Linked DNA regions of Daphnia pulex. The protein of the gene in region 3 purifies or fractionates together with the protein of the main gene of each other region. This does not show direct contact. Links are inferred from orthologs where the notes say so. Each region holds a gene or a part of one and is shown on either strand. Other genes may lie near its edges.

Evidence for each region.
Region 1: the proteins of breast cancer anti-estrogen resistance protein 1-like (region 3) and growth factor receptor-bound protein 2 purify together in Homo sapiens (affinity purification with western blotting; 3 studies listed by BioGRID, with this or other methods). This does not show direct contact. The link is inferred for Daphnia pulex from reciprocal best matches to the Homo sapiens genes BCAR1 and GRB2.
Region 2: the proteins of breast cancer anti-estrogen resistance protein 1-like (region 3) and 14-3-3 protein epsilon purify together in Homo sapiens (affinity purification with mass spectrometry; 3 studies listed by BioGRID and IntAct, with this or other methods). This does not show direct contact. The link is inferred for Daphnia pulex from reciprocal best matches to the Homo sapiens genes BCAR1 and YWHAE.
Region 4: the proteins of breast cancer anti-estrogen resistance protein 1-like (region 3) and paxillin-like purify together in Homo sapiens (affinity purification with western blotting; 3 studies listed by BioGRID, with this or other methods). This does not show direct contact. The link is inferred for Daphnia pulex from reciprocal best matches to the Homo sapiens genes BCAR1 and PXN.

The regions. Positions count from the first base shown.
Region 1 is NC_060028.1:9,113,636-9,119,247, forward strand, and holds growth factor receptor-bound protein 2, read right to left. Parts: upstream 4,390-5,612; 5' UTR 3,994-4,389; coding exon 3,916-3,993; intron 3,829-3,915; coding exon 3,731-3,828; intron 3,660-3,730; coding exon 3,540-3,659; intron 2,355-3,539; coding exon 2,189-2,354; intron 2,112-2,188; coding exon 1,938-2,111; 3' UTR 1,299-1,937; downstream 1-1,298. Other genes in the region: 39S ribosomal protein L46, mitochondrial-like, read left to right, coding at 129-216, 284-485, 547-683, 743-1,164; protein brambleberry-like, read left to right, coding at 4,781-5,089, 5,163-5,291, 5,354-5,539, 5,598-5,612. UniProt on the Homo sapiens protein: Non-enzymatic adapter protein that plays a pivotal role in precisely regulated signaling cascades from cell surface receptors to cellular responses, including signaling transduction and gene expression.
Region 2 is NC_060024.1:10,586,237-10,594,487, forward strand, and holds 14-3-3 protein epsilon, read left to right. Parts: upstream 1-3,776; 5' UTR 3,777-3,943; coding exon 3,944-4,007; intron 4,008-5,667; coding exon 5,668-5,867; intron 5,868-5,928; coding exon 5,929-6,035; intron 6,036-6,361; coding exon 6,362-6,499; intron 6,500-6,553; coding exon 6,554-6,768; intron 6,769-6,861; coding exon 6,862-6,923; 3' UTR 6,924-7,311; downstream 7,312-8,251. Other genes in the region: piwi-like protein Siwi, read left to right, coding at 1-90, 154-309, 383-684, 749-857, 912-1,056, 1,118-1,259, 1,327-1,492, 1,564-1,686 and 4 more; INO80 complex subunit B-like, read right to left, coding at 8,135-8,251. UniProt on the Homo sapiens protein: Adapter protein implicated in the regulation of a large spectrum of both general and specialized signaling pathways. Binds to a large number of partners, usually by recognition of a phosphoserine or phosphothreonine motif.
Region 3 is NC_060021.1:6,677,508-6,685,711, forward strand, and holds the start of breast cancer anti-estrogen resistance protein 1-like, read left to right. Parts: upstream 1-3,866; 5' UTR 3,867-4,225; coding exon 4,226-4,333; intron 4,334-8,204. Other genes in the region: mucosa-associated lymphoid tissue lymphoma translocation protein 1-like, read right to left, coding at 1-71, 142-400, 471-654, 723-874, 938-1,083, 1,171-1,173. UniProt on the Homo sapiens protein: Docking protein which plays a central coordinating role for tyrosine kinase-based signaling related to cell adhesion. Implicated in induction of cell migration and cell branching. Involved in the BCAR3-mediated inhibition of TGFB signaling.
Region 4 is NC_060022.1:1,455,885-1,463,394, forward strand, and holds the end of paxillin-like, read left to right. Parts: intron 1-1,165; coding exon 1,166-1,306; intron 1,307-1,435; coding exon 1,436-1,513; intron 1,514-1,606; coding exon 1,607-1,780; intron 1,781-2,197; coding exon 2,198-2,428; intron 2,429-2,570; coding exon of another isoform or gene 2,571-2,684; exon of another isoform or gene 2,685-3,196; intron 3,197-4,472; coding exon 4,473-4,593; intron 4,594-4,793; coding exon 4,794-4,939; 3' UTR 4,940-5,844; downstream 5,845-7,510. UniProt on the Homo sapiens protein: Cytoskeletal protein involved in actin-membrane attachment at sites of cell adhesion to the extracellular matrix (focal adhesion). Recruits other proteins such as TRIM15 to focal adhesion.

The DNA.
Region 1 (5,612 bases), on a different chromosome or scaffold from region 3:
AAGACTCTCGGAATCGAATCGAGGATTTTCCGATTTTGTTGACAATTCTTACTGTGCCCGTGCCGGCCTTGTGGCCAGAATTTAATATAGACTAATCAATAGTTATTCAAATAAGATACAAGAGAAAAATGTTTTGCTTTCGATCTCATGCTTTAGGTAGCCTATCACTAGTTAAGAATGGTTTTTCAATTAACAAAGTCTATCAAAATCCAAAAGGTAAAAAGCTTAAAATCATTCATTTTTTAACGCTTTTTGATGGATAAAATAAATTTTATGTTCGTAGTTTTCTTGAGAATGTCGAGTGCTTCTACATCCAGTTCTTCACCCCAAAAATGGGAACTTCTTGGTGCAATTTGTCTGGAAAGAACACCAATCATTGTGCCTCCCATGACCGAAATTGAACAACAAATTAGTGAAATGATTGAGAAGTTTGATAATATGAGAAGCCTCAAATCAAATCATGAACTAAGACATGAAGAAGACAAGTAATAATTTCAAATACCATCAAAGATTTTAATTTTAATATGAATAATTTCTTAATTGTAGGAAGCTACAAAAAATGGCTGCAGATGGAACTCAAGATGAAAGTAACCCAGATGCAGCAACAAGGCAAACAGCTCAAGACTTTGAAGATGCTTGCAATGAAGAATTTCAAAAATTTAAGCCTGCCCCAAGGACTACAGGTAATAATATAAATAATAAAGTTGACTAACAAGTAATTCATTGACCTACTGTAAACTAGCTGAAGATTTGAGTGGAGACCAGAAGTCCACCAATCGAAAGCTGGATAAGCATTTGCTTTTTGTTGTGCAAGAAAAAGACAAGAAAGTTTGGAAGCTTCCGGAAAGTAGGTGGAGGGAAGGGGAGACCTTACGTGAGACCGCAGAACGTGCACTTAGAGAATACGTGAAAACTCCTGATACGTCAGTGCGAGTATTGGGCAATGCTCCGTGGGGAGTACATACTATCAAATATCCGTCGTCAGTTCGCCAAAAGCTTGGTTTTACCGGTTCAAAAGTTTTCTTCTTCAAAGCCCAATTGCTTTCTTCTTGCACTACTTGTTCAGACATAGAGTATAATTGGTTGGGCAGAGAAGAGCTTACAAACAGTCTCGAGCCCGAATACTTACGTAGCGTAAGAAAATTTCTCATCGATGAAGATTAATTCATTAAACATAGTATTTGTTTAGATGCATCTTTAAATACACAAATTTTTTTCCTCTTACACATTCTACTATTACGAAACAATGAACGCAACAGGTAAGAGTTTTAAATCTGACGGAGAAGAAGACTAAAACATTGGTTTGCACATTATATTTTCATCAATCAAGATACTGTTCGATGTACAAGTATAGCATGGTCTCAAGCTAGTTCATAAGAGTGAGAGTTATGAAGAGGTTATCGATATAGGTAGAAAATCGAAATTCACTTTAAAATGTCGACAAAAAAGGGAAAAGAGCCAATAAGATAAGAAGAAGCAACAGAAATGACGGGCAAACTTAATAGCCCAGTAATTGTTGTCGACGTTATGGATAAGTTAACTTATCTTTCCGCAATCAAAACCACACAAATTGCTCCAACATGACTATTCGACCAAAGCCACATCTAATGGCAATCCCGAAAGCTGTGTGCTTGAGGGGAAATACAGTCGAAAATCGAGGTTAGAACAACATAAACGGAAAAAAACTGAAAAGAAAGCAATTTTACAAACTGCTTTCAATGAGAAATGAGATGCAATCCTGTCAATCCTAGCTGTTCATCACTTTTACTGTTTTGTTATCAAAGTTAGTAATGTGTTTAGGTTCGAAGTCGGCAAAAATAACTTGAGTCTTAAGAACGGACGCACCACTTTAATACAAAAAGAAAAAAAAAATGAAGAAAAATTTATGAAGAAAAGAAAAGGAGCAAAAGAAAACGAACGAACAGTGCCTTCGCCTTTTAAGTATGATACGGGGCAACGTAAGTGGCAGGAAAGAGGCCGCGGCGGGCGCCAATTTCTCCAGTCCACCAATGTTGATCAGAACGGTCTGTCACAGTTATGACGTCGCCTCGCTTAAATTCCAATTCACCTGGTTCTTGCGGGGTGAAATCGTATAGTGCCTGCACCAAGAACTGTCGAAAATTCACACAACAATTGTTAGTCAATCCTGAGCCTAAAGGCATGGAAAAAAGAACAACTGGTAACTCACCTCTTCAGGCACCATGTCTCGTAACTTTATATCCTGAGACCGAGAAACAGATGTGGAGCGATGGTAGTCGACCAGTTCGTTGAGCGAGTTGAATTTTACCACCCACAAAAAGAACTTCCCTTGGGCATCGCGAAGTACTTTGAAGTGCTGGACACCATCGCCACATCTGCGAGACAAGAAAGAAAAAATAGAGAATAGCCTATTAACACAGAATGCACGTAACAAAGTATTGTGTAAATTTCAAACTAATTTCGAACTACAAGGAAGTAGGATGATGGCTTCCTTAGCTATAAACAAAACACACTCATCCTACAACTTAACGGGCAAAAACCTCAAGAAGGAATAAATAACACAGCAGGGCGATGAGAGAATTGTAAAAACTAAAAATGATGCAAAACTCCGGTTCAAGGCACATATATAGTTGCTTGATTACGGACGGTGGCTCAGTGGTAAGGGAACTTGACGAAAAGGCCTAACAGATAGAAAACAGAATGTACCCTAGACACGCCTAACAAGGCTAATAAAATACCAAAAAGGATAAAACTAATTACTGAAAACAGTAGGACTGACGGTTCATGAATCACGAGTCACGACTTAAGCAAAGGGTAGTCACTGCACGAGTTCCAATTTTACAAGCTGTCTTTGTTTTTTTAAGGTAAAACAAAATAGACAATTGAGATTCATTCCACCTTTGAAGTGAATAAAATTGGAATGTAAACGGATGTGTGCGTCATCAGGTTGACTCATGCACTGCATTTGGAAAGAATTCTTGCGTGATCAAATCAAATTTCTACAGAAAACCAAATACCCATGATTCTTTGAGGGAAATAGAAATAAACTGTACGTTCGGTTCATTAATTTTCTATTCAAACGCGTCTTCCTAGTAAGGTAGAACTTGTATCGTACAGTTTGGAGAGCGAGATTATAAGATATTTGATTTTACACTGATGAAAGCCTGCATGTTTGAAATTCTTTTCACGCTTCAAATGTACGTGTAGCGTCTAATCAGGATATCTGAATGCAAAGCGATATTTCTCAATATGTTTTTATAATGTGCTATTTCTACATAAATATTTTGAGAAATCTTCCCGTTTTAGGCAGTTAACGACTTACAAGCTTAGTTAATAGATGTCAACTTATCTCATTCAGATGTTCTAATGATAAGTAGTCTGGTATGCCACAAATAGATTTCAACAACATTTGAGAATAGGCAAATAATAACATCAAACATAGTAGAAGAATTCCTATGGGGCATTTCTAAACTATCTAGAGCTCTTGGTTAAGGATTTACACTGTCTATGTTTCTAAACAAAATCTATCACATTGTTATTTTAAGAACTAGATAACATACTTAACAGACAGGGAAAAGTCTCCCGGTGAGCTCTCACTGACTCTAACAACAAAAGCGCCTTCATGTTTGTTGCCCAAGAGTTTCTCTGCATCAGCTCTGGTTATTCTTCCATAGTACCAACTGTAGAAAATAAAACAACAAGTTATAATCAATATGCATTATTTTATCATAAACATTTCAACTAGGCTTACTCATGATTTTTCATTTCAATGTAGTTACTAGGAATCAACCCTTCTTTTCCATCCAATTCTGCTCTATACCAATTCAGATCATCTTCCATATTCAGAATCTACATTTGAATCAAATGAACAGGTTAGAATATTGCTATAAGCAAAAATTCCTTAAATTCTGTTGAAAGCATCATTGCTTGGTTTACCTTGAGAACTTGCCCTTTTCGAAAACTAAGCTCATCTTCAGCAGTGGCATTAAAGTCATGTTTAGAATTGGCCTCCATCTCGAAAATAACACGTTTTATGAAATCACAGATGATAAAGTATTTCTTGGCAAAACAAGCTTCAGAGAAGGAATTTCCTTTTCAAGGCTAGGCCGGATGTGCACCACGGCTACGTTTATCAAGTGAAACGGTTGTTGGCCAATCACCAAAATGTTTTGACTTCGTTCAAAGTCGAATTACACTTCTCGAAACTCAAAAACGAATAGCATTTCCCACAAATTGTTTGACAATATTGACTATCAACTGACGTATCCGTATCCACGATTGTTTGATTAACTATACACTGTTTTCGGGGCCCGACGAAAGCCAGACAGCCATAATTTTGGGAAACAACTTAGTTCTTGGCTTTGACGCACGAGCGTCACCAGTCCTTTTCTCCCAATGGAATTTTAAAGGTAAATGCTTGCGTGCCTGTAAACGTTTTTTATTTTTTCTAACTATTTTTTTTCCAAATGACTGAAATTATTTAAAATATTATTTCAATTACAGGAATATACATTTTTTATAATACAACATAATAGATGAATATTTTAAGATTTTAAATATTTAAATTTCCGTCGAATTCTTTTGGAAAAAGCAATGTGGCAACGTTATCTGCCTCATTTGAATAAATGCAAATGGTTTTCAAAAGGAATCTCGACCCAGAGATTCAGACCAGTCCGGACTTGAATTTAGAAAAGCAACGTGCAGTTCCTTTTGACTAATTTTATCGACCAAACCCTCTTACAATCTTATACAATTATTGTCAGATGATTTTCTCTTATATTGCACTGTGATTATTACAAAAATGAAGATAACTTTATATTTAGTGGCCATAATTCTCCTAGGAACTGGTAGTCATTCTAGTTTAGTAGGTTGGATTTTAGGCAGAGACAGCTCCCCTTTTAACATTTTGAGTAGTGAAAAACAATTTGATAAGCTTATGGCTGTAGCAAAAGAAGATGATAAGATTGAAGTTTCTGAACCTGATGAGAGTGCTGTGCAAGCAAGGTCTGATATTCCATTTGAGCTGTCTGTAGCTGATGAAAAATTCATTGCCGATGCACAGAAATATACTGACCTTAGTCTGAGCGAGCTGGATGTTTGCCAGCATAAAGTAAGTAAAGTACTTTGATGTTGATTCAAAGTACAATCTCACTGTTCATTAATATTAATGAACTCGTTTATAGTTAATCCTTCAATTGAAGCAAGACTGCAATGATCTCTCAGAGGAAGATTTGTCTAAGTTGGGTGTGAATCTTTTAAACTGCCAATCAAGATTGGAAGGGCGGAGAGTCTACCCATGCTCCTCTTCAATGGCAAGTTTTCTAATTAATGTATCACTTCAGCTAGTTGTAGCTAACCAGTTTATATTTTTTAGACTTTAAGGGAATGTACTTCTGACATGGATTCCGACACCTGGAATGCCTACCATATTCTATCCAATAGAGCAAGATCAGTGTGCTACGGTGCCCGCCAACAACAGTTTAGAGCACTGACTCAAATGACAGTCAACAAACTCATGGCCAGTTCTAGTCAACAATTGGGATTCATTAGAGAGCTCAAGGTTGGTTTCTTTATTGATTTTCATCACAACTGTATTGTATCTTTTTTTTTCCTCACAGGCTGAGCAAGAGGAA
Region 2 (8,251 bases), on a different chromosome or scaffold from region 3:
AACATTATTTTACGCCGTTGCCTTGGCATGCTTAATTTGACTATGTGGAAACGCGATTATTATGACCCGGCAGCCTTGACTGAAATTCCGGTAAGGATTTTCTTTTATAATTTCCAGAAATTATTTTACTTATGTTTTTGGTTCGTCTTGTAGCAACATTTCTTGAACGTATGGCCCGGCTACCTGACTACTATCCGACATCACGAGGATGGATTTCTTCTTGGTGTAGAGATCATCCATAAAGTTTTGCGTCGAGATACTGCCTTAGATGTTATGGATAGATTGCGTCAATCTGGGGGTGATATTCAGGTATGCAATTTGTAACTGAATTTTTAAAAGACGATTTTTAACCTAACAATTTTATTTTAAATTGCTGCTTTAGGCACTGTGTAAGGCGGAACTGCTAGGAAAAGTTGTCATGACGCATTACAACAAAAAAACTTACCGAATTGACGATGTCGACTTCACCAAAAACCCCAGATCAACCTTCCACCTGCGCAAAGAAGACCGTGATATTTCGTACATGGAATATTACCAGACGCGTTATAGCCTCTCGGTGAGGAATGCTTCCCAGCCAATGTTAGTTTCACTCCCTTCACGACGAGATAAAAATCGAGGCGACGACCAACCAGTGTACCTCATTCCAGAACTGTGCGGCATGACGGGTCTCAGCGATGATCAAAAGTATACATTAACTCGAGCATTCAGTATTGATAATAATTTTACTTAATCATTTCTCAATTTTTAGGAAGAATTTCAATTTGATGAAGGATGTCGGTAATATTACGCGAGTTATGCCAGATAAACGTGTTGATGCCCTCATGAAGTTCCGCAAACGACTGGCCGATAATCCAAAGGTGAGTGTGGTTAAATATGACTTATTACAATCTATTAATGATATGTTCTAACAGATTCAAGAAGAGCTTAACAGTTGGGGTCTCGACTTTGCAAAAAATATTGTCTCTTGCAATGCGCGTATTATTCCTGCTCAAACGATTCAACAGGGTGGTAACAGTTTTCCAACACAAGAAGGAGACTGGAGTCGTAATATTCAGCGTAAGTTATACTTTACATTAAATGACGAATCCGAGTACTAATCAATTATTAATCGATTTAGGATCCAGGATGTGTGTGTCTGTGGAATTACAGGATTGGGTTGTATTTACGCCGTCAGCAATGATGCAAGAAATCACACCCTTCGTTAATATGATGAAGCAAGTTGGAGCTCAACAGGGTTTTAACATCCCGCAACCTGAATAGTATGCGACCATTTTTCTAATATATTTAATATTCAATTCATTCTTAAATTACGATTTTCAATAATAGTATTAATATGCAAATGGACCGTACGTCAAACTACGTCGAGGCTATTCGAGCGGAATGTGGTCGAAAGCAATTCAGCCTTATTTTTTGCGTGTTGCGTGCTGCACGAGCAGATACGTATGCTTCAATCAAGAAGATGACGATCTCAGAATTCGGCATTCCATCTCAGGTATCCGTTTGAAAGGGAATCGTAGTTGGCATCTTCATGATTGTTTAACTAGATTTGATCTTCTTGCACAGGTGATAACGGGAAGAAATATCAAGGGACAGCCCGGTAAGCTCATGTCAATCGCCACCAAAGTTATGATTCAAGTTGCTTCGAAGTTGGGTGCGGAACCTTGGAGAGTTGCAGTCCCCCAGACGGTAACTTTTCTCGATCGAGACGTTTGCTTCTTGAATTCTTAATTTATCTTTTGGCTATTATTGAATGTAGAAATGGATGGTTATCGGCTATGATACGTACCACGATGCACGTCAAAGAAAAGCTGTCGGTGCATTTGTTGCATCCATCAACCCGACCTTCTCGCGTTACTATTCTTCTGTGAAAATTCATGAAAACAATGAAGAAATTTCACCCAGCTTCAAAGATCATCTCTTTGGCGCACTCAAGTATGTTTTATTATGCTTTCTTTGTTCCGTGCAAAATAATATCTCTTTTTCATTCGCACAATTAGATCTTATTACATCATGAACGAAAAAACATTGCCGGAAAAAATCATTGTCTACCGTGACGGTGTCGGTGCTGGAGACATTGCGCGACTGAAGGATACGGAAGTGGCGGCACTGAGGGTAATAATGATGAGTGACGGTCTGTGGGAAGATTTTGAGGCTCGTTTTTCTATACAATTATCATTTTTTGGCTTGAGTAGGAGGCTTGTTCCGATGCTGGTGCTCGAACAAATTACCTCGGGACTGGTGTGTATAATCCACCCATTGCGTTCATTGTCGTAAGCAAGCGGATCAACACGCGATTTTTCGCCATGGGACAACGTGGAGCGAGCAACCCTCCTTGCGGCACGGTTGTCGACAATAAAGTGACGCTCAATGAGAGATTCGACTTCTTCCTGGTGTCTCAAAAAGTTACGCAAGGTACCGTTTCTCCCACCAGCTACAATGTTATTGAAGATGACACTGGAATCGCCCCTGATATTCACCAGCGACTGGCTTATGCTCTTACCCATCTTTACTACAATTGGCCTGTAAGTTTTTTTATTTTTATTGTCTATTTTATTCAGAATTGAATTTAACCAATTTGTTCATTTAAGGGTACCCTGCGTATTCCAGCGCCCATCCAGTATGCGCACAAGTTGGCGTACCTTGTTGGTGAATCAATGATGACGCAACCGCATGAAGGACTGAATCGACTTCCTTATTACCTTTGAATTACCTTTCATTTATTTTCTCCCTAAGTTTTGTCATTTTTAACGTATTAATTTGTTCACTCATAAGAAAAAAACTAAAAGACGACGAGACATGCCTCACTCGCACGATTTTCGAATGACGCCAAAAATATTTTTCTTGAGTTTGTTTGCAATGGCGGATATCGACAATGGAAGTGTTTTTCATGCAATTTTTTTTTCTGTTTCACCTTCATGGGCCATGTCAGAAGTGTGATAATGAACGCCCCTTTGTGCCATGTTGTATGTAATCAAGGAATGAGTAATAAACCTTTGTTTTTAAATGAAGTAGATTTATTGACTTTCGTGTGGTGAGTTTTTATATGATGAAATAAACATGAGTTGCAATGGAATTCGCGTTGAGATGGCATTGACGGAAAAGCTCTACGTGTGCAATGCACATAGCACATTAGGTGTTTCGAAAGCACTGAGGAAAACAAAAGAATGTGGCATCGCTGCTTGGCAGGCGTGGTCAAGCTGACAGCTGTATCGAGAAGAATGCAGGCCTGCAAGGCCAACAAGGGTACGTCTGGGCAGGATCGTCTGGGCTTCCTCGATAGTCAACTTTCAGGTCCGCAAAAGCCAAAAGAACTCGCAAGTCATTGAATTGCTAATTGTCCACTAGAGACACCATGCGGCTGTCTCTTTTGTAACCAAGGGATCTCAATCGTCCCACAGCGAACTAAATCGTTTATAAAAATTATTTCAATACTATAAAATGACTTGATTTCATAACTTGAAGCTTTTTAAAAACACGATAAAATAATATTTACGTAACAAAATAGATGGTTGCTAGACATCCAATAATGAATTCACAAAAAGTATGCATAGAATCAAATGATTAGAATGAACATGTCATTACTCGGATAATAGAAAATTTGAATAAAAGTTTTATTTCATAAGAATTAATTAAATACCTAAAAGATTAGACAGCCCCCAAAGGTGTTTGGCCTTGTATAGATGTCAGCACTGTACGCTGCTAGATGCATAGGTAATAAGAAACGAGATCTGGCAATCTGGCCTCTTCCCATCCCATCGACTCTCGCTGGCATTTTCCGCTTTAGCTACAGGGCAAAGCATTCTAGCAAGCGTACGGTGGAGTCTCAGTTGCTAGCTACACTCTTTGGTCTTAGTCGAGACAATTCGAGGCAGGTTCCGATTCCAACGGTCTCGCTTTTGTTTCTTTATCCAGTGACATCTGCTTATAGTTTATTCCAGCAGCCATGGCAGACAGAGAGGATAACGTTTACAAGGCAAAACTCGCCGAACAAGCCGAAAGATACGATGGTACGTAAATGTCATTTAAATGTAAAATCGAAAAAAAGAATGAAGTTTCATTTCCTCTGTGTCTCTATGACTGTGCATCTCTGTGGGTAAAACCGAACGAGACGGTAGGCGGCTTTGAAAAAAGGCTTGGGCGTTTGACAGACTTATGACGTTTTGACTTTTTGTCTTTTTTCTTGTACATTCGGTTGTGTAATGGGGAAATTCAGCGGCGTCCCCCCTCTTAGTGTTGGCTTGAATACTTTCGATCAATATGACACTCGTACTTGAGGTTCATTTTTCCTGACAATTCCATTTTATCAAGTATAGTATAATCTCAGCCATGTTTTCTAGAATCTCTTTTGAGGGTTTTTGTCGCAGTACGAAATAAAAAAAAAGTAATTCTGGGTGTGTGTCCGGTGTGTGTGTGTATCTCTGGGTGGTTTTCCTCGAAACCTACCGCTACGTAACGAGATGACTTGGATCAATGAGTCATGAGAGAGAGAGAGAGAGAGCAGAGACTTTGGACTGTCTCTTTGTATACTTGCTTTCCAATAACTTTTTTATTCTCTTTTTCGTGAAAAATACGTAGTCGTTTCTATTCAACTTGGGCCTCTCACCATTGCGCATCACCAAGGCGACGGATCTCTTCAAAACGACGCTCGGTAGAGTACCCCACCCTTATGTGCGTGATGCGTTGGGGGTCCTGGCTACGTTGATGAAAACGTGCCGTCTAAAAAAGCTTCTCTCTCTCTCTCTCTCTCGAGGACATCAAAAAGGAAACCGTTCACACAACAATGGCCGCCTGTGATGGTTAATTTTCTCTTCTATATTTTTCTCTCGACTCTTCTGTCTGCGGCTTACAAAAACCAAGAATCGGTCAAGCTCTGACAGTGGGCGGAGAAACCCGATGGAAAATTAGCCACCATTTTTATTTTTCGTCTTTTTCCTTTAGGAAAATATTCCAACTGGTATGAATGGGGCGTTTTTCTATTTCCACATATTTTCGAAAAAATAGTTGTCGCACGTGACGCGTCTCGTGCCTTTTGTCGTTGTAGAAAAAAAAAATTAGTTTTTATATTTTTAACTTTATTCCCCCCCCCCCCCTTCACGTTTCAATGATGGAGGGAAGTTGGAAAGAAGAGAAAATGCGGTGTGGGTGTGTCGCCCTAGAACCTGTCATTACGCCACTGCGATGTGAATCCAAGTGGAGAGCCTGTCCGTGCATACAACTCGATCGTCTGGTTATTATTATTTCCCTGAATTCAAACATGTACGCCCAGCTGGAGAAACTTTTATTTTTCAATTCCTCCCTTAGAAAAAAAGAGGACACACATAGTTTTGTGTGTGTGTGCGTAACGTCAACTCGGTTTGCCCCTGTACTTTTCCTTCCTTCCGCCGTGGGGATGCTGATGTTGGGGGTTATATGACGACTGCGACGTGCTGGATGTGTGGAGAGCGGGCGGAACTAGGCGGTAGCGTGTTTCCTCCCGTGGCCGTTATTGATCCGCTACTTGAAAAGTCGCTCGAGTGTGGGGGGTGGGGTAGACAGGGAGATGGGGGGGAAAGAAGGCAAAGCCTTTATGTCTGAAAGTGTATCTATCTTTTTCTGTCCAAAAGAGAAAGGGATCCTCTGACAAGTTTCTTTGGCTAAGACTATATGATAATCTGTTTGTTGATGCAGAAATGGTCGAGTCCATGAAAAAGGTGGCGTCGATGGACGTCGAGTTGACTGTCGAGGAGCGGAATCTGCTGAGCGTGGCTTACAAAAATGTGATCGGCGCTCGTCGTGCATCTTGGCGCATCATCTCGTCCATTGAACAGAAAGAGGAGAACAAGGGAGCCGAAGATAAACTTGAACTCATCCGCAATTACCGCAATCAGGTATGGATAATGTATTCAAATTTTATTCATTGATTTGTGCCTTTATCTGTTTTGTCTATAGGTCGAGAAAGAGCTGAAGGACATTTGCTCTGATATTTTGAGCGTCCTCGAGAAGCATCTCATCCCATCAGCCACCACTGGAGAATCTAAAGTCTTTTACTACAAAATGTAAATCGATTTTTGCTTGGCCTTTTTTTTTTCAATCTTGCGAGTAGTAGTTGGACATTCCTATTAAATGCACCGGTGGATTTCTCTCAAAGTCCTTGAGACTCGAGCGTCTGTGATTTCGAATTCTACTCGTGTTTCGCTTTGAGAGAAAAGAAAAAGTGTCGTTACTATCTCTACCAAACGTGTACACAATTTTATCGTACGTAAACGTTGCGCCAAGCGCAACTTTGTGTGCGCGCAGACATGTTGTGGATGGATGGCCTGGTATTGATTATTGACGATTTTACACAACTCCCTTCCTCTGCTTTTGTCGTTGTGTTATACAGGAAGGGTGATTACCATCGGTATTTGGCCGAATTTGCGACAGGAAATGACCGAAAGGAAGCTGCAGAGAACTCGTTGATGGCTTACAAAGCCGCCTCCGACATTGCCATGACGGAATTACCCCCCACCCATCCCATCAGGTAACTTAACTAACAATTTGTTGCCGATCCTCAACTTAACTTTATCATTTGTAGATTGGGATTGGCCTTGAACTTTTCCGTCTTTTATTACGAAATCCTCAACTCTCCGGACCGAGCGTGCCGGTTAGCCAAGGCAGCTTTCGATGACGCCATCGCTGAGCTCGACACCCTTTCGGAGGAGTCGTACAAGGACTCGACGCTCATCATGCAGCTCTTGAGGGACAACTTGACCCTCTGGACTTCCGACATGCAGGGCGATGGAGAAGCTGGTTAGTAGAGCAACAGCTAATTGATTTTTGTCCAATCACGCCAACAGGACTTGTGTGTGTTAATAATTAAAATTTCCTTTTTTAAAAAAATTGATCAAGGAGATGGTGAACCAAAAGCGGAAGTCGCAGACGTTGAGGACCAAGACGTCTCCTAATCGGCGATGTAATTTGTATTGATGTGTTTTTTTTTCTTAAGTCCTACATGATTTGTTCAATTTTTTCATTATATTATTAATTTTTTTTTTTCAACAAAAAAAAAAGTAATCCGGAAATCCACCACCTATGTTTCCTTTACTCTTATCTGTCTCCCATTCGCTCCCCCTCCCTCTAATTGTTCATCCCGCGCTCTTCATCGAACACTGGAAACTGCATTACAACAATTACCGAAACGGTTTGCATGGACACGTGTATAACTCCTCAAAAACAAAACAAACAAAAAATAATTAATAAGCAAAGGCTGTGTGTGGTTTTTGTTGTCATTCCCGTTGTCCCTGCCCTCTGTCTCTCTTTAATTTCCAATAATCATTTCCGTTATCTCTTGGATCTTCCTCGTCGTTTTATTCGTCGAAGATCCAGCGTGCCCGCACACACACACACACAGACGATACACAACACACTCACAGTTTCAATTTCTCTTCGGAATTTTTCTCTCTCTCTCTCTGCGATGTAGTCTGGCGTCACACAAGACTTCACGTGTAACCTTTTAAAACAAAAGCTGCTGTTGTCTTTTCAACTTTTCTGTAAAACTGCCGCGATTTCTTCATTTCCTCAAATTTGTATCAAATGGGATTGAATTTTCTACCAGGGGCTACTAGAGAGAGGAAAGCTGAAGAATTCGAGTAGAGGTAACTGTGGAAAAGTATTTGATTCAGTCTTTCCGCAACTAAATAATTGGCAATGGATTTTTTGAAAAGTAAAAAAAAACACGAATGGAAGAATAATTTCTTGGCTTCGTATCGCATTTTCCCCCCTTTACTATTTACTATTAGGCCTACTATTAAGTTTTTAACTTTTTCCATGTCGCTCGAGCCATTCCCTATTTATTTCTCTGTGGTGTCCAAACATTTGCTCACCATCATAGTTGGGAAAAAACCAAGAAGAAAAAAAAAATATTTGAATTTTGGAAAAGAATTTTTTTTTTGGTCCGACGTGATGTAACCAGTCTCCTTTTTTGCAAAGAAAAATAATCTCCTTTTCCTTTTTCTATCATCTGTCTGGTTGTAAAACAAAATAATCAAGAGGATGACCGCTGCAGAAAGAAAGCTAGGTCAAATACACGCGCGCATTCTTTTGTCCTCGGTTTCCACAAACAATAATTTTTTTCTTATTTAAACACATTTTTATTTTGGTTATGTTAGACGCATCATCATGATATTCTGTGCAGTGTCATATTCTTTCGGTAACATTGGATACTACAGAGTGGCACTGCCGTCTTGGAACATGAGTAGCGCTTGACATTAGTGCATCCTTGCACTCCACAGTT
Region 3 (8,204 bases):
AATGTTTTTCCTTCCGAATTTGTGGCCAGACACCTGTATCGACCGGAATGTTGAGGCACTGCGGAACTAATCTGTCAATATATGCGTTTTTATCTTATACGAAATGCATCACACGCACAAACCTAAGAAAGAGTGTGTTACCTTTAAGATGGTGGTCACTTCGTTGGAAATAGGATAGTCGTTCTTGTACCATTGAAAGCGAGGAATCGGATTCCCTTCGATCATGCAACTCAATTCGATAACATTTCCTGGGTCTGTACAAAGATCCTGAGGTTCTGTCACCACAAAAGGCGCACAATTTTCCAAAGTCATTTTTGAAGATCCAGTGGATATTGTTTGAAAACTGCCATCTCTGCACTGCTGAGTAATTTCACATTTGTAGAATCCAGCATCCGAATTTCTGCAATTAATTTTTTTGTCAAAAAGATTAAACAAATTTGAATGGGTCCAATGCAAACAAAAGGAAAAACCTGAAAGTAGGGATTACTAGAGGGTTAAATGTTGCACTCTCTGATGCTAATGGGGCATCATTTAAGAACCACTGAAATGTAGGTTTGGGGAATCCATCAGAAGAAACTTCAAAACCAAGTTCAACTGTTGTGTTCATTTTCACACGAGTTTCTTCTGGTAAATGGTTTACTATCACAACTGGAACTGAATAGAGAAATTCATAGAGCCACTTTCTTTTTTATTTTATTAGCATGTCAGATAAAAAAAAGTACCTCTATCTTTGAGCAGGTAAAGTGGTTCATACATTTCACATTTTTCTAGAAAAAATGCAAGAATGCCAATTTTGCAGTTAAATCTGGAGAGCTTAGAAAACAACTGGGTACTCGTACAGTTTCCTTGCTGTGTAACCAAACTTCCTGGATTTCTAAAAAAGGTAATAGAAATTTGATTTGGGATTCACAGTAGTAAAACAAGCTTTATTACATACACTGTTTTCATCACCATGTCCAGCAGTTCACAAGAGCGCCCCTCTCGATCTAACCACGAAGAAATCTGCTGATGAATTCCTGGGCTCAATCTTTCAAGAGGCTGTGAAGGATCTGGTATAGGTGACAAAGGGAATCTCAGCATTCTCTAAATTTTGTGATGACTATAGATTTATAAAACAAACACTAAATTATTCTATTATTGTGCGATCCAGCTGATTTTTTTTGTATATACCATAGACTACGAAGTCTATGTATATACCTTGATGTCACCTGTTATCTAGTCGTTTCCGGCACACGCCGTTTGAGCAATTGCTGTTCTCAACAGGATTAATAATCGTTCATATAAGAAACTGCAGCAGTCATGGCTCAAATTCTACGTTTTCTAAAGCAGTAATTGTTGTGATGGAACTCTTATTTTTCGTAAATCGTTTACATTTTACAGTTACAGCACAAATACAGCAGACGACATAAGACCTGCTTGATCAAAGGTGTGACATCTAGCGAACAAAAATGAACACGAATTCGAATGTAATAATGTTAAAGGAAAATTGTGCAGGCATCTCCCTATCGGAAACAAAAAAATTAACTAATGAATCGTTTTTCTGCCTATCTGCTGCAATGCAATTTTGTGATGTGAAATGAACAACAAGCATCTAGTTGTGACGCGCAGTGGATATTTATTTTACTTATGGTTTAATGTGTAACTAAATAGCTTACGAACAGTACTTGGGCATGTATTTAGTCATTCTTGATGAATTATCTGGTTAGAATAAGAGAAGGGTTTTTATCTATCATTAATTGGTGGGTACGGCTGATTAACTTCCAGTCTAGCATTGCTATAGAAAGGTCTCGTCGCCTTAAAATAGTGCTTCTGGATCTGGAAGTTAAGACGAAGGTTTAAGTGAAGTGGAACTTTACGCTTACAGCCGTTACCGCATATCGTTTACTGGACATATGTCTAGAATATGAACCATAGTACCTCCTTCACAACCAATGATAAAAATCTTGTACTAATATCATTTGATGTAGAATAAATTCTTGCCCAAATGCCAAGTATCTTAGCTAACATTAGTGCTCTATATTACGTGCGTATTGTTCATTATTAAAAATTAAAATCCCATTTTGATATTTATGAATTATATGAGATAACCGAAGGGATCTAGGGCGAAGCATTTGGGTCAGAGAAAAAGTGGCGACGAATGAAATGTCGCCTGCTCAATATCACGGCAGGTTCTCTCGATGTTTTTTGTGTTTGTGTGTGTGTGATGTCTGGTGAGAGGTGACATCTAGCGAACAAAATTGAAAAAAGAATTCGAATTTGATGATGTTAAGAGGGGAAATGTGCAAGCATCGGACGTGTTGGTTTTCAAAACAGGATGTTAGGTCAGCCGTAAATCAGTCAAAGGGTTAAGAGGACAAATAAATTGTACATGGAAAACTCTGCAGCGAATGCATTTCGTCAAGAGATTACACAGCGATCTTGAATGTCCACGACAGCTGCTGCTCTCATCCCTAGGTTATTTATTTCATAAATTTGTTTTCACTGAAAACAAAAAAGGATGAAAATGATGATATTTACCAAACAAGGGCCGCTGGCGTCAGTTGGTCGCTCTCAATTTTTAGAGCAAAAGGAAAGACAAAAATTGGCAGCTAAAAAACTGCCGGTCGTATAATCGCTGAGGCATGGCAGATTACCAAAGACGAGTGGCACACACACACACACGAAAGCTTTCACGATATAGACTATAGCAGTACCACCACGTTTCGGGATAGAAATAGCCAGGTCAACTCAACATTTCCTGGAATCCAACTCAAACTTTTTCGGGACTGATTGATTTAGAGGTCTCGGCTATTATTCGCGACGAAATGTTTCATAACGCCAAAAATTTCTTTCGAGGCAGCATTCATTTAAATAATGAAGCTAGCAAGCACGTCTGTCAGAGCTCTATCTCTAGCTTCAAAAAAACATTCCCGAGTTTCCCCAATCTGACGGTTGTCCAATCGTTTGGAATTCATGAAGAATAAAAATGTTTTTTCCAAGTTTCTGGTTGGTCCGTTCAAACGTACACGAATGTTCGTTGCCAGTCACCACATGGCGATGAGAGGTCGTAAGCGGTTTTGGCGCCGCATTCGAAAGTGCCTTGAATGTTTTTTCTTCTTTCCTTTTTGTTGAAGCGCAGCTGGCAATTCATCATCTGCGAGTCTCTTCTCCGGGACTCACGTCGCGACGGTCTCTGGTGGTGGACACGCCGTCTGTGAAACTCGCGTGCCCTGTTTTTATAGTGTTGCCCCGAAAAAGTTTGTTGATTCAGCCGAAATTGGAAGTCACCGACAAACGACATTCTTGTGTGTCACACAACACAACAGCCATCCACCAAGTCGTTTGCAAAAGGACGCAGCAGCACCGTGAGCTGAGCTGGGGAGGACGACCGCAGGACGTGAAAAGAAACTGTAATACTCTCCGACCTTGTGAGTTGTGCAGACCTTTTCCTACGTACACATTAAACATATAAGCAGCTATATACACGACACAATAGCCACTGGTGGTGCTGGTGCTGTGCTTCTGGGATAAATCGTCTCAAACCTGACGAAATTCCATGATATACACGCGACCATAGCAGACACACGGCCATTTTCCTTTTGTCTTCTTCCTGTTGTATCTCTCTTGAACGCAACCAAACAAGAAAAACAATCGCAGTCGGTTGCCAATAAAGGAAAGCACCTTAATTAGCAGCTACAACAACAACCTTGCGTCGCGCAGCTCTAAACCATCTTTTTTTGTTTTTCTTTCTCATTCTTTCGCCATCCTGGAGGTCTTAACAAGGACCGCACTGCGCCGTCCATACTTAATGTTTCGATAGAAAAACCGAAAAACTTTTGTTTTGTTCTTCCGCGGCTTTTTTTTAAAATCTCTGATTCGCAGCGCAGTCCCGATTAAGAAAAAAAGTTTCAATCCGGCAGCAGCCAGCCAGTCTCACAGTGTTCCGCTTCGTTTCTTTTTGGAACCGAATGGAAGAAAAACGGCAGAGTGAAAGAGCGAGAGAGAAGAGAGAGAGAGAGGCGATTTGTTCAAAACTCGGCTCTCCTGCCAATAGCTGCTTCACTCTTCAGCCCACCCGGTAGTGATAACAACACCACTCGTTTCTCTGTGTGAATTGAGTGATAAACAATTTTAAAGTTTTAAATTTAAAAAAGAAAAAAAAAAGGAGAAAACAGCGCATAGTTTTGGGCCGGCCGGACTGGAACACATTTGAACCACTTCACACAGAGTGTAGAAAGCAAAACGAATGGCTACGATGGACGGAAGTAGTGCTGCTGTCCAGACTACCATCGCCAGAGGCAACCAAACTAGCGTCTTCAACAATCAGCAGCAACCGGCTTGTTGGAATGGACTGGTAGCTAAAAATTCTATTCTTACGTATTATATTTTTTGAATGTGTTAAATCAGTTGGAAGAAGATCAGAGATTTTTATATAGGTATTGTAGATATTCAAATATGAGGCATTCCTCACTGTCTTTGGACAGGTTCCCCTTTTTCTCTTTCTACCGTCCGTAACGCCCATTCGTTGAATAATTCGGGAAAAAAGATCCCGCATAAAAAAATGGGCGCTTTGCGCGCGGGACTATATAGAAACAAAAAGTAAAGTGAGAAGCTCCGCGCGGTCCCAAGGTCTATCGTATCATCTAACTTAACCTTTCTTTCTTTTTTATTTGATTTGCTGTTGTACTATAGTGGTGGTGTTGTTTTGTGTTGTTGTGAATATGATTCACGAGCCAGTTTGAATTACTTTGGGACCGTGGAAATCTAAACAGCAACGCCATCGATTATGCACGGAGCTGTGAGATTCTAATCTTTTTAAATCAACAAGCGTTTCATAATATTGCGTATAGCCCTTACACATACATGTTTGTGATGGGTGTGTGCAGTGCACTGCACAGGGAACTCGACACTCGGCGTCCGAGAGAGAGTTTCACATCATATAGAATGCGTTCGGGAGAAATACGCACAGGCACGCAAGTTTAGTCTCGATACACACAATGCGTTATGATTATGGCTGACATTGCCGTGGACTGGCCGGTCCCTCCTCTCAACGCGTTCTTACGTAATAATAAGGGTCTCCCAGTTCGGCAGCATTGAAAGGGGTTAAACAAAAGGAAGGAATAAGATGAGACGAAGGAGAGATTTTCTTTTGAAAAAGATGTGGCGATAAGCTTTCAGGTATTATGATGGAACGCGCGTGCGGGAGAAAAAAGAAGAAAAATCCAGACGGCGCCTCTCGCTCTCGCTAACTCATCTCGTGGTAATTTTGTAGAGAGAAAAAAATAGTTTTCGATAGGCAATAAAGTAAAGATGATAAGGACATGGGGCCAACTGTTCAATTTCTACTTCAGAACTTTTTGAACTGCTGGAATCCCTCCATTACACGAGGCGGTGCTTAGTCGAAAGAAATTTAAACGGCCGGATGAGTGATTTGCGATATGAGCGGCTATTTTCCATCGTACATCAATTTGATGATTCCCCCCCCCCTCAAAATATATAAAAACGAATGAAGAGCATCGCGTTAGATTTCCTTTCAGATATACATTTTGAAAACGACGTTTTACACCTTGAAAAGGGCTTTGGCAGGTGGAGCGCAGGAACATTAAGGTGAATCTTTACTGGGCAGCCGTTCATCAGTCAAGAAGTTAACGATTCCTAGAATAACCTGGACGACCTCCTGTTTTGTTTCTCTAGTTCCTAAATCACGCGATATAAACAGTCCCGAATGTCTCTCTGCGCATATCTAATATAGTCAAAAGTGATTACATACCAAAGGAGATTAGAACTACAATAGCTGCCCCGATCATTTTCAAGGCGAAAGTTTGTGTCACGAAAAGAGAGAAAAGAAAAAACACATTCCGCGACGTGAATAAGCGGCACGTTCGAAGCTTATTTCTGCCAACCGGCGCAAAGCTGAAAAAGTGCATTACATGTGTTATCGCCATTTGGACGCTGTAATAAGATATAAGAGGATGTGAAATTCAAATTCTTATCAAATTTTGAAAAGTTTATGGGGAATTTAAATTTCGACAAAAACAAAAATATTAATTGGATCGTTTTCTTGCCTCTATCCTGCAAATCAATTTTAAGATGACAAATGAACAGTAACTATACAGATGTGACCCGTAAAAACAATTAATTGGACCTATGTTCAAACGTATATCTTAATTGATTACGAACAGTGATAGAGCACATGTTTCATCATCCATGGTTATAAATCTAGTTAGTATTAAATCGGTTTCACAATTTTTTTTTGATTAGGCGCGGTTGGTTAATTAAAATACGATGCCTTCAACAATATGTTGATGAGCAAGTCAGGATTTTAACTAGCCGTCGGATCAATTGATACTGGATTTCCATCCAGAATATAAAAACAAGTACATCCTTACCACCGCTGGTAAAACTCTATGAGGAAACCACTAATTGTAGAATATATTCCTGCCGAATCGCAAAATTTCTTATATACATTCAGTGTTCTCAATTGCGATCATACAGTTCATTATTAAAAAATTGAAAAATACTTATGGAGTGAGTCGTTAAGTCTGTTATAAGATAAGATTGTTGTTATAAGAAAATATGATGTGGAAGTAAATGGGACTGCGTAGTGCGTAGTTTTTGGACGAGAAATTAGAATTTTGACAAAATAAAACAAAAAAAGAACAAAACAAAAGTTCCCTTGCCTCTTTCTAATGCAATCTGATTTGATGTCAAATGAACAATAAGTAATCAGATGTGACGCGTAATAAAATGTTATTGGAGCTATGGTTTAAAGTTTATCTAACTTGATTACAACCAGTGTTTGGATACACATTTAATCATCCTTGCTGTAAGATTTAGTTAGCATAAGTTTTGAATTTATTTCGTTGAAAGAATAGACATGGCTGAGTAATGAAAACCAAACCTATTGATGAAAAAAACGTTTGCCCAAAATATGCTGACTTTTTCATGGAAATGGGTGTAAATTCATCAGCCGTCTCTTCATGTCTATTCATACTGGAAATTCATCCAGAATATAAACATACATACATCCTCGCAACCACTGGTAAAACACTATGGAAAAAAACACTCGATTTGTAAAATTTACCGGCCAATTCGCAAAATTTTTTAAAGTTTCTGTGTTCTTAATTACGTGTATGTTGTTCATTATTAAAAAATAGAAAAACTCGTATAGGAATGAGTCAATAAGTCGGCTACTGCAGTTTTGCTGAAGACGGGGAATATCTACCTTATAAGTTACACCGAAAAAATCCCTGGAGCGATTACGATCGTCATCCGTGTCACACATTATTGCAATATACCCCCAAGTCGAGAAATCAAATAGGATTGAGCTGAAAAAGGAGATGATTGAGAGCGCGGGTCGTTCAGCCGAGTCTCTCGTGACAGGGCGACATACGCGGACGTAGAGAAAAAGCGACAAACCGGACTTGCATCGATCAACCCGCGAGAAATAAGAAAACACGAATAAACCTCGGTGATGAATGCGAAAAGGGACAAGGTGACGGCCCTCCCGCACGCTCTCACAGCAGCAGACGACTCGAATGTGTATAAGGAAACAACAACAACAACCTGGAGGAGAGAAGCGTAATCGAGCGGCGGTTCTTTTTGAGTCAGTCACACGGGGCGACATCGACCATGTTAGAGTGTGTAGTATACCTGCACCCGGAACTGATGCGCGCATATCCCCCCTCCACAAACCTTCCAGTTCCTTTATAAGGTGTGAGGCTCTCTCTCTATCCTCGTACGAATAAATTGTAATCCACGTCAGCCGACGATGGTCGCCAAACTGGCCGGCGCTGGCCGGTGTAAGAAAAAAGAAAAGAAAGTCTGGTGACAAGTGCGCACACTTTTCGACTCTGTGACAAGGACTCTCTATTATAGCATATTATATAGTATAGTATAGAAGTGGAGTTTTTTAAAAAGTAATGCGGACGGCAACATTGATCACGGAGCCACTGAGGAGCCGGACGGCGGCGTGCTATGACGCATTCCTCTATGTGGAAGGATATAATATTTTCTACAGAAATATTTTTCAACCTTCTGCTGTCGAGGCTATATGTCGTTATTTTCTCTGTGAAACAAAAAGGGGCAAGACTCTCCGTTTTCACGCTACCTCGGGACATTCAGCAGTCAGGTGCTTTAATCAAAGTAGACGGCCATATGTGTGAGAATGGTGAGCGATGTCCGAGAGTTGCCCATGGTGGACTCCATCGATTACGACTGGTTAC
Region 4 (7,510 bases), on a different chromosome or scaffold from region 3:
GTTAGTAGTAGCGGTAATAAGGTTCCTTTCGAGTCGGACTGCTTCACGTCCGTCGATTTCCCGTCTTGTGATGGATTTAGTGTCTCGCAACAGCCGGCCCAAAGCGGAGCCCGACCGTAGCTGCCGGCCGTGTTGTTGCGCGTCTGGGTTTTCTGGACTTTCCAGCTCTTCCTCTCGCCGTTCTATATACTCTGCTGGATTCTTAAAGTGTACTAAACGTACTCGACTTGCCAGACCAAACCAAACCAAAAGAACCTTTGCCCAGCGCCTTGATGATAAACCGAGACGGGCAGAAAACTCTAAAGAAAGAAAAAGTGACGATGAAAGAAATACAAAATGCTTTTTAGTGCTGGATGCTGGATGCTGTTTGCAACAAGGCACAAACACGATGTGTTCAACTGCGCATATGTATACGTGAGAGAGACGGCTCTAGCGCATTCTTACGACCTTCGCCTTATACACACGCGTATATATTCCGTCTTGGGGCTACCATTTAAAAATAGAATTTTTTAGAACCCCTTTTTTCTCGATTTTTTTCTCCCGTTTCCACTTTCCCAGTGGACGTGAATTTTTGACGGTTGTTGATCCGAGTCCCGAAAAATCGAAGGTCACGGGACTCGTATCGTCTACTGGGACGGACCACCAGTGGGTTACCAAGTAAGAGTCGAGTAGGTGTCGAGTCAAATTTATCGGTTTCGTATCAACAGTCGGTGTTTATATTTGCGCGAACGAAAAAAACACTTTTGCCAATGTCGAATTGGACGCACACAGACGGACGGATAGACCAGATCCTCTCACCGGGCCATGGACTCGAAATGGACTCGTCGTCTATCGACTCTGGGTGAATCATCGTCGACTCGTCGCTGTCCCTCACGGGAGCAAAGGTGCGGGACTGGCGATGTGATGATGGGCAAGACGTGTATGATTCCGCCCAGTTTCCCCGATGGCGTTAAGCTGGCTAACGTGCGGGGCAGGGCAAAATGTTTTGTTTATTGACGATAAGGATTTTTCTTGTTTCTTTTTTCACTTTTTTTTTTTTTTTTGGAATAATAAATCGGGAGCCAAAACATTTGGGGGAACGTTTTTCTTTCCCCCCTTTGAAGGCTGGAAAGAAAGAAAGAAAATAAAAATGTTGATGATTTACACATTTTGCGCGCGTGTATAGAAGGGCGGAGCGGCCGGTTCTCCGGAGCCAATCGAGACGGCGTCGTTTTCAAAGATCGGCGACGCCACCTACGCCAAACCTAACAAAGTCCATCGAGCCAACCCCAAGGATCAGTTGGATTCGATGCTCGGCAACCTACAGGTGACTCTCTTTCCAGCTCTCCCATTTCTCTCTACTACTGACTTTCTGATTTTACATTTTCTTCATTCGTTCCTTATCGGTTCTTGTAATTAAAATTCCGTTTTTGCATTTCACGATTGATTCAAACAGGCTGACATGAACAAACAAGGTATCTCCGCCACCACCAAAGGATGTTGCACCGCCTGCGAGAAGCCCATCGTCGGGCAGGTCCGACTTTTTTTCATTTCCCCCTCAATTCAATTGACCCGACCATTGAATTAATTGAATTTGTATTGTTTTGTTTTGTTGTGGGGTTTTCAGGTGGTGACGGCTCTTGGTAGGACGTGGCATCCGGAGCACTTTGTCTGCTCCCACTGCCGCCAGGAGTTGGGAACGCAAAACTTTTTCGAACGCGACGGCCAGCCTTACTGTGAACCCGATTATCACCACCTCTTCTCGCCCCGTTGCGCTTATTGCAACGGACCCATTCTAGATGTACGTTGTTGCCTTTTTCCTGGTTGTTTCAACACCCACCGCGGGCCCAATTGATTTGGCAAATTCCGACCCTATTTCACACACGCGTTGGGTCCAGTTGGTCCTGGACGGGAGAGCTCTTCTCTCTCTCTCTCTCACTATCCAGAATGTATAAATAGAACTTTTAAGTGGCCCCGAACGAACTGAGCGAAGCCATCACAAGAGTCACGCACGTTGGCTGACTGATGAAACGGATGAATGGATGGACGACGGTGTCAGACAGCTGGTCTGGTTCACCTCATCACCCGAAAACTTGTTCTTGTTGGCAGCCTCTTTTTGTTGTTGTTTCTTTTTCCTAACATGTTCCTACTAACTTTCTTTTTTTCGGACGTTGTGTTTCTTTTATCGCCCCCGCGTCGCCAATTGGTTCCATTACAGAAATGCGTGACGGCGTTGGATCAGACGTGGCACCCGGATCACTTTTTCTGCACCCAATGCGGCTGCCAGTTTGGCGAGGATGGATTCCAGGAGAAGGATGGCAAGCCATACTGCAAGGAGGACTACCTGGCCATGTTCGCCCTCAAGTGCAAAGGCTGTTCCACGGCCATCACCGAGGGCTACATCTCGGCTCTCAACGGCCAGTGGCATCCCAATTGTTTCGTCTGCAGGGTAAGTTTTTCCTTATTGACGTCAGATATGTTGTCCCCTGGAAGGTAGGTTATTCTTCTAGACAATCCTATTAGTAACGTGTGTCCGTTTCGCTGTTGTTGTTGTTGTTGTTGACATTCTTATATATCTCTTGACCGAGAAGGATTGTCGCGTTTCGCTCAACGGCGGATCTTTTTACACGGTCGACTCGCGCCCAGTTTGCGGCAAGTGTATGGGCGTCGGTTCCGATGCCGAAGACGACGACGACAGCCAATGAAGTGACCCCCGTGACCCCAAAACAAAAAAACAAAACAAAAACAAACCAAAATGTGTTTGAAAATTTTCAAGGAAGAAGAAAAACACAAACCCAAAAAAACACACGGCGCTTCTTATCTCACTTCTCCTTTCGCACACTTTTCTCTCTCTCTCTCTCGCTCCTCTTGAAGTAGTTTTGGCCACTCCCACCAGAAAAAACAGTCCCGAGTTTTTATTTTACAAAATAAGAAACCTGACAAACCAAAAAAATGATGATGATGTTCTAGTCCTGAAAAATAACAACACACCCACCGCGCGACATGCCCAAGTGCCTCCTCTTATTTAAAACAAATTTATTATTGGCTCATTTTTTGGCTGTTTCTTCTGACTTTTTTTCTTCTTTCTATCCCCCTTTCGCTCTCTATTCTCTCTCTCCATTTTGTGTGTTGTGTCTTGTTATGTATGTTGGCGATGATGAATCTTTTTCGCACAAAATGACAATGAAAGAAAACAAGTTAAACCAAAAACCAAAAATACCTGAAAAAAGAGTTCCACTCGAACGAGCAAATCATACTACTACTCTACTGCTGCTACTTTTTCCAGTTTGGTACATATAGTCAGAGAATAAAACAAAAAAGAAACAAAAGATTAACGACTCTTCGGTGGCGGGGAGGCTCATGCACTATTGGATGGATGGTATAGTTGGACTGGTTTGGCGGGGTAGTAGTAGCAGTACAGTTCGTTTAGTTCAGTCACATTTCTTTTCTATATACAACACACACACCCGTTGGGTGGGTTTATTTTAACGATGCGGATGAGTTCACATCGTTACGCAAAATGAGCGCTGCAAAGTAAAAGGCAAGTTCGTCATTCTCGTGAACTCCCCATGGTTCGGTTCACGCAATGGGTTTCTTCTTCTTTTTGTGTGTGTAGAGCCGGGTTGAATAAATCAGTCAAGTCGTGGGAGGGCGGAGACAAGCTCCGAGCCGGGATGAAGTTGCTTACCTTTGAGCTTCTTCTTCTTTCAAAATTAGAATTCGTTATTTTTGTATTTTGGCTTCTTTTTTGCGCGCTAGTCTTGTCCATTTGATTGTTGTCATCGCTTTTTAAAGCTTTTGGACCCGGGGGTTTGAATAAAGCGCTTTGCACAGCTGTGCCCTCCTCCCTCGGTCGATCTTTACCAGCAGAAAAAAAATTTTTTGAAGCCAGCTTTCGAGGAACTGTAAACGACCGGATGACGCATGGCGTGTCATAAGAGATTTCTCCGGTGCCGCTCTAGCGAAGTAGAAGAAGAGGGATACTATCTATAGGCTGGCGAAAGCGTATAAATAAAGACATCCTTTCTCTCGACTCTCCTTTTTTCTATTCTCAGAACATAAAAGACACGTACGAAAAAAAAAAGTTATATTTTTTTTTCGGGTTTTTGAAAATTCGCCGCAGAATGGCGCGGACTTTTCTTCTTTTTATTTTCGCCTATTTTTGGGCTCTTTGGAGAGGCTTTACTAACTACGACCAGTAGTTGGCTGTCAAACAATCACTTAGTCTCGGGCTCTTGACCCTCTTTTCTGCTAGCTCCTCCTTCGCCATTTCCCTTGTAGTCGTTATTAACATTTTATTTTTAAAAGCGACTCAATGAAAGGCATTTCTTTTCCAACAACAAACGGCGTACGGGTGACGTTAAGGGTGTCTAATTAAAAACAACAATTACCCCCCCCCCCTCACTTAGTAATTAAGCAAATATGGATCTTTTGCTAATGCGATTATTAAATTGTTATTTTTTTTTTTTTTTCCCCACCATTCCAACTTGCAGGATTGCAACATGCTGTTCCAGGGCGGATCGTTCTTCGTTCACGAGGGTATGCCCTACTGTGAGATCCATTACCACGCCAAGAGAGGTTCGCTCTGCGCCGGATGCCATAAGCCGATTACCGGTAACGATTTTCTTCTTCTTCTTTATTTTCTCTTTAATAGACATCCCCCTCCCCCCCCCATAACACTTGCGTGAAAAAACAACAACCGTTTAACCTCATTTTCTCTATTCACCCATTATACTGTAACTGCTGTATACGATGTGAATGAATTTGTTTGTTATTGTTCTTTTGTTATCACGCGAAAAACAAAACAAAATCAGGTCGGTGCATCACGGCCATGTTCAAGAAGTTTCACCCGGAACACTTTGTCTGCTCCTATTGCCTGAAACAGTTGAAGAAGGGCACGTTCAAAGAGCAAGGAGACAAGCCGTACTGCCACGGATGTTTCGAGCGCCTATTCGGATGAAAAACCAAAACAATTCCGGAAGGGAATGAAACAACAACAACAAACAATAATGATTTTGAAAAATGATTCATTTCTTCTTTTTTTTAATGATTGGGTGGGGAAGTACAACTGACGACGGACTCCACGTTTACAATGTAATAACACATGTGAAAAGATAACCCCCCCCCCCCACTCAATCCACATCGAATTCTATTTTTCAATGTAATCCCCGCCCGCCCACGCCCCCCATGAAGGAAACCAGCGCATAAAAAAAGGAAAAGAAAATGACACGCAGACACATTTTCTATATACTTACACTACTACATTACAGTATAAATCTTTATTCGATTTCTACCATAAATATTCTTAGGGCGACATCCCATGAAACCAATTTTTTTCCTGGTTAATCGGTTAACCATTTTTTGGGGGGGTTTTCCAGCCAACGTCTTTTGCCTCTATCGGCTCATCTTTCAAAGTGGTTTCTCTAGTTTGTTTAGTTGTCATTGGATAAACCAAGTGGTGAGGAAAACAAAAAAGGAAATGAAGTTTTAAACCTCCCTCCCGCTCCTAACGCTTGATTCACCGCCGAGACGCACAAAAAACTACGCAAAACTAATGATGTTTTTTTTTTAAATAGTAAAACTTATACAATAAAAAAAGTCAAATAGAAAATCGAAGTGGAAAACGAAAATGGTATGGCATCAGCTATTGCTGATGATGGCGCACACACGCATCAATAAATTTGATAGGATCGAATATTGGTTCAACTTTTTTCTATTTCCCTCCTCCGTCTCTTTCAATTTAATTATTTGTATTAATTAAGAATCTTTTGGGTTCGCTATCGTGTTCGTCCGTCGTCATTAAAACAACAACCAATTTTCTGTGTACTTGTTTGTTTGTGTGTGTATAAAAAAATTTTAATTCAATTTCAATTTCCGTTCATGTGATTTCCGATTATGAAAAATATTAATGAAAACATCCATAGAAATATCACTACGAATTTTGGAATTTCATAAATCCACCGAAAGACGGATCCCAACTCCCAAGTTCCAAACGCTACGGCTTCAATTATTTCGCAGTTGTAGTAGCTGCAGTAGAGGTGTAGAAACATTAACCGCAAGGTTTTGTTTACTTTTACTTTGACATTAACGGATAGCCAGCGGTTGAGCGGATCGGTGTAGCCATATCGGCGATATCGTGTAGTGTTGCCAGTTTGTGCAATTAAAATATTCGAAACGCGCATTATTTTTTCGGCATTGGCAACACCACACAATATGGCTACCGTCTACCGATCCGCAGTACGGCAGTCGGCAGTAGGCTACCGCTCAACCGCTGGTTTATCCGTTTATGTCGTAAAGTAAACGTAAACTCGTAAACAAAACCTTGCGGTTAATGTTTTGGCAATGGGAGCTTGGGATGAAGAAGTTGTGCTGTGTTTCTTTCAGTAAAGCAAGATTTGCATAGAAAGGTGATGAAATAGTTCATGAATAATTTTACGACAAGAAGCTGCCATACTACGACACACTTTGACATGAGTATCTGAAATTCCAGTGAACCAGTCAGTTCACCAGCAAAAAAACAGCTTCTTTTCCTGGCAAAAAGTCAGAAAACAATGAAAGAAGAAACATCAACAATTTATTGTTTCAGGAGACTACAACAGGTATGGTTTAAGTCAATACAACCACAGACTACAACTAACCACAAATGTTATTGAAATAGATCTGTCCTGTGCATCACACAAGGTAATCAAGAGTTTGCAGTCAGCAGCATACTCAGTAGCCTACTCTTTTTTCTAAAGACGAAATGAAATCCTTGAAGATGTCTTGGAGCTGTTGTCACTTTGTCCAACAGCGTCCTGGAAGAACTGCTACTTTGCATCACCACAATTTAAAACATTCCAGCCACAGAGTTCCAGCACAGCATATCCTTTACAGATATGAGCTAACTACAACATTTGATATAAATTCACAGGTACAGGTTGTAGATAATGTAGAAGAACTGGAAAAGGAATAGAAATTGGTTGCTCTAGTACTGCTACTCATTCACCTTAGGGGCCATATTAGGGATTAATTATTCGGCAATTTTTCCGCAATTAGCCAATTAGGTAATCATTTGCCAAAGGAATATGTTGGATATCACTAAGTGGCTAAAATTATGTCTGCTAGATGGCGCGAGTGTCTTCGTTACTCAAGAGTCCAGACGAAATTCCGCCATTTCCTAAGACACTGATTGGAAACCGCATGTTGAAATGTTGAAAACGTATCGTTGGATTGGATACTTCTTAATACGGCGTACTTTTCTTTCTTGACATTTTTATTCGTAATAATGGTAATTGCTCTTTGGATTCTTGGATGTGACTGTGTTAATTATTTGTGTGAATTTAGGTATTTATCTGGTAACAGCCTATAATTTCTACATGGCAATTACATCTGATCATGTGGCCTGAGCTGGGCCTGAGCAGCTGAACATTTTGCCAAAATGTCTCTTTTTCCTGTACCAGCTTCACGTTTGTCAGAAACACTTCGGGTAAATATAATGTTCAACTTTCTAACTGTGAGACTACAGATTTAGTTAGTGCCTATCTTTTCAACC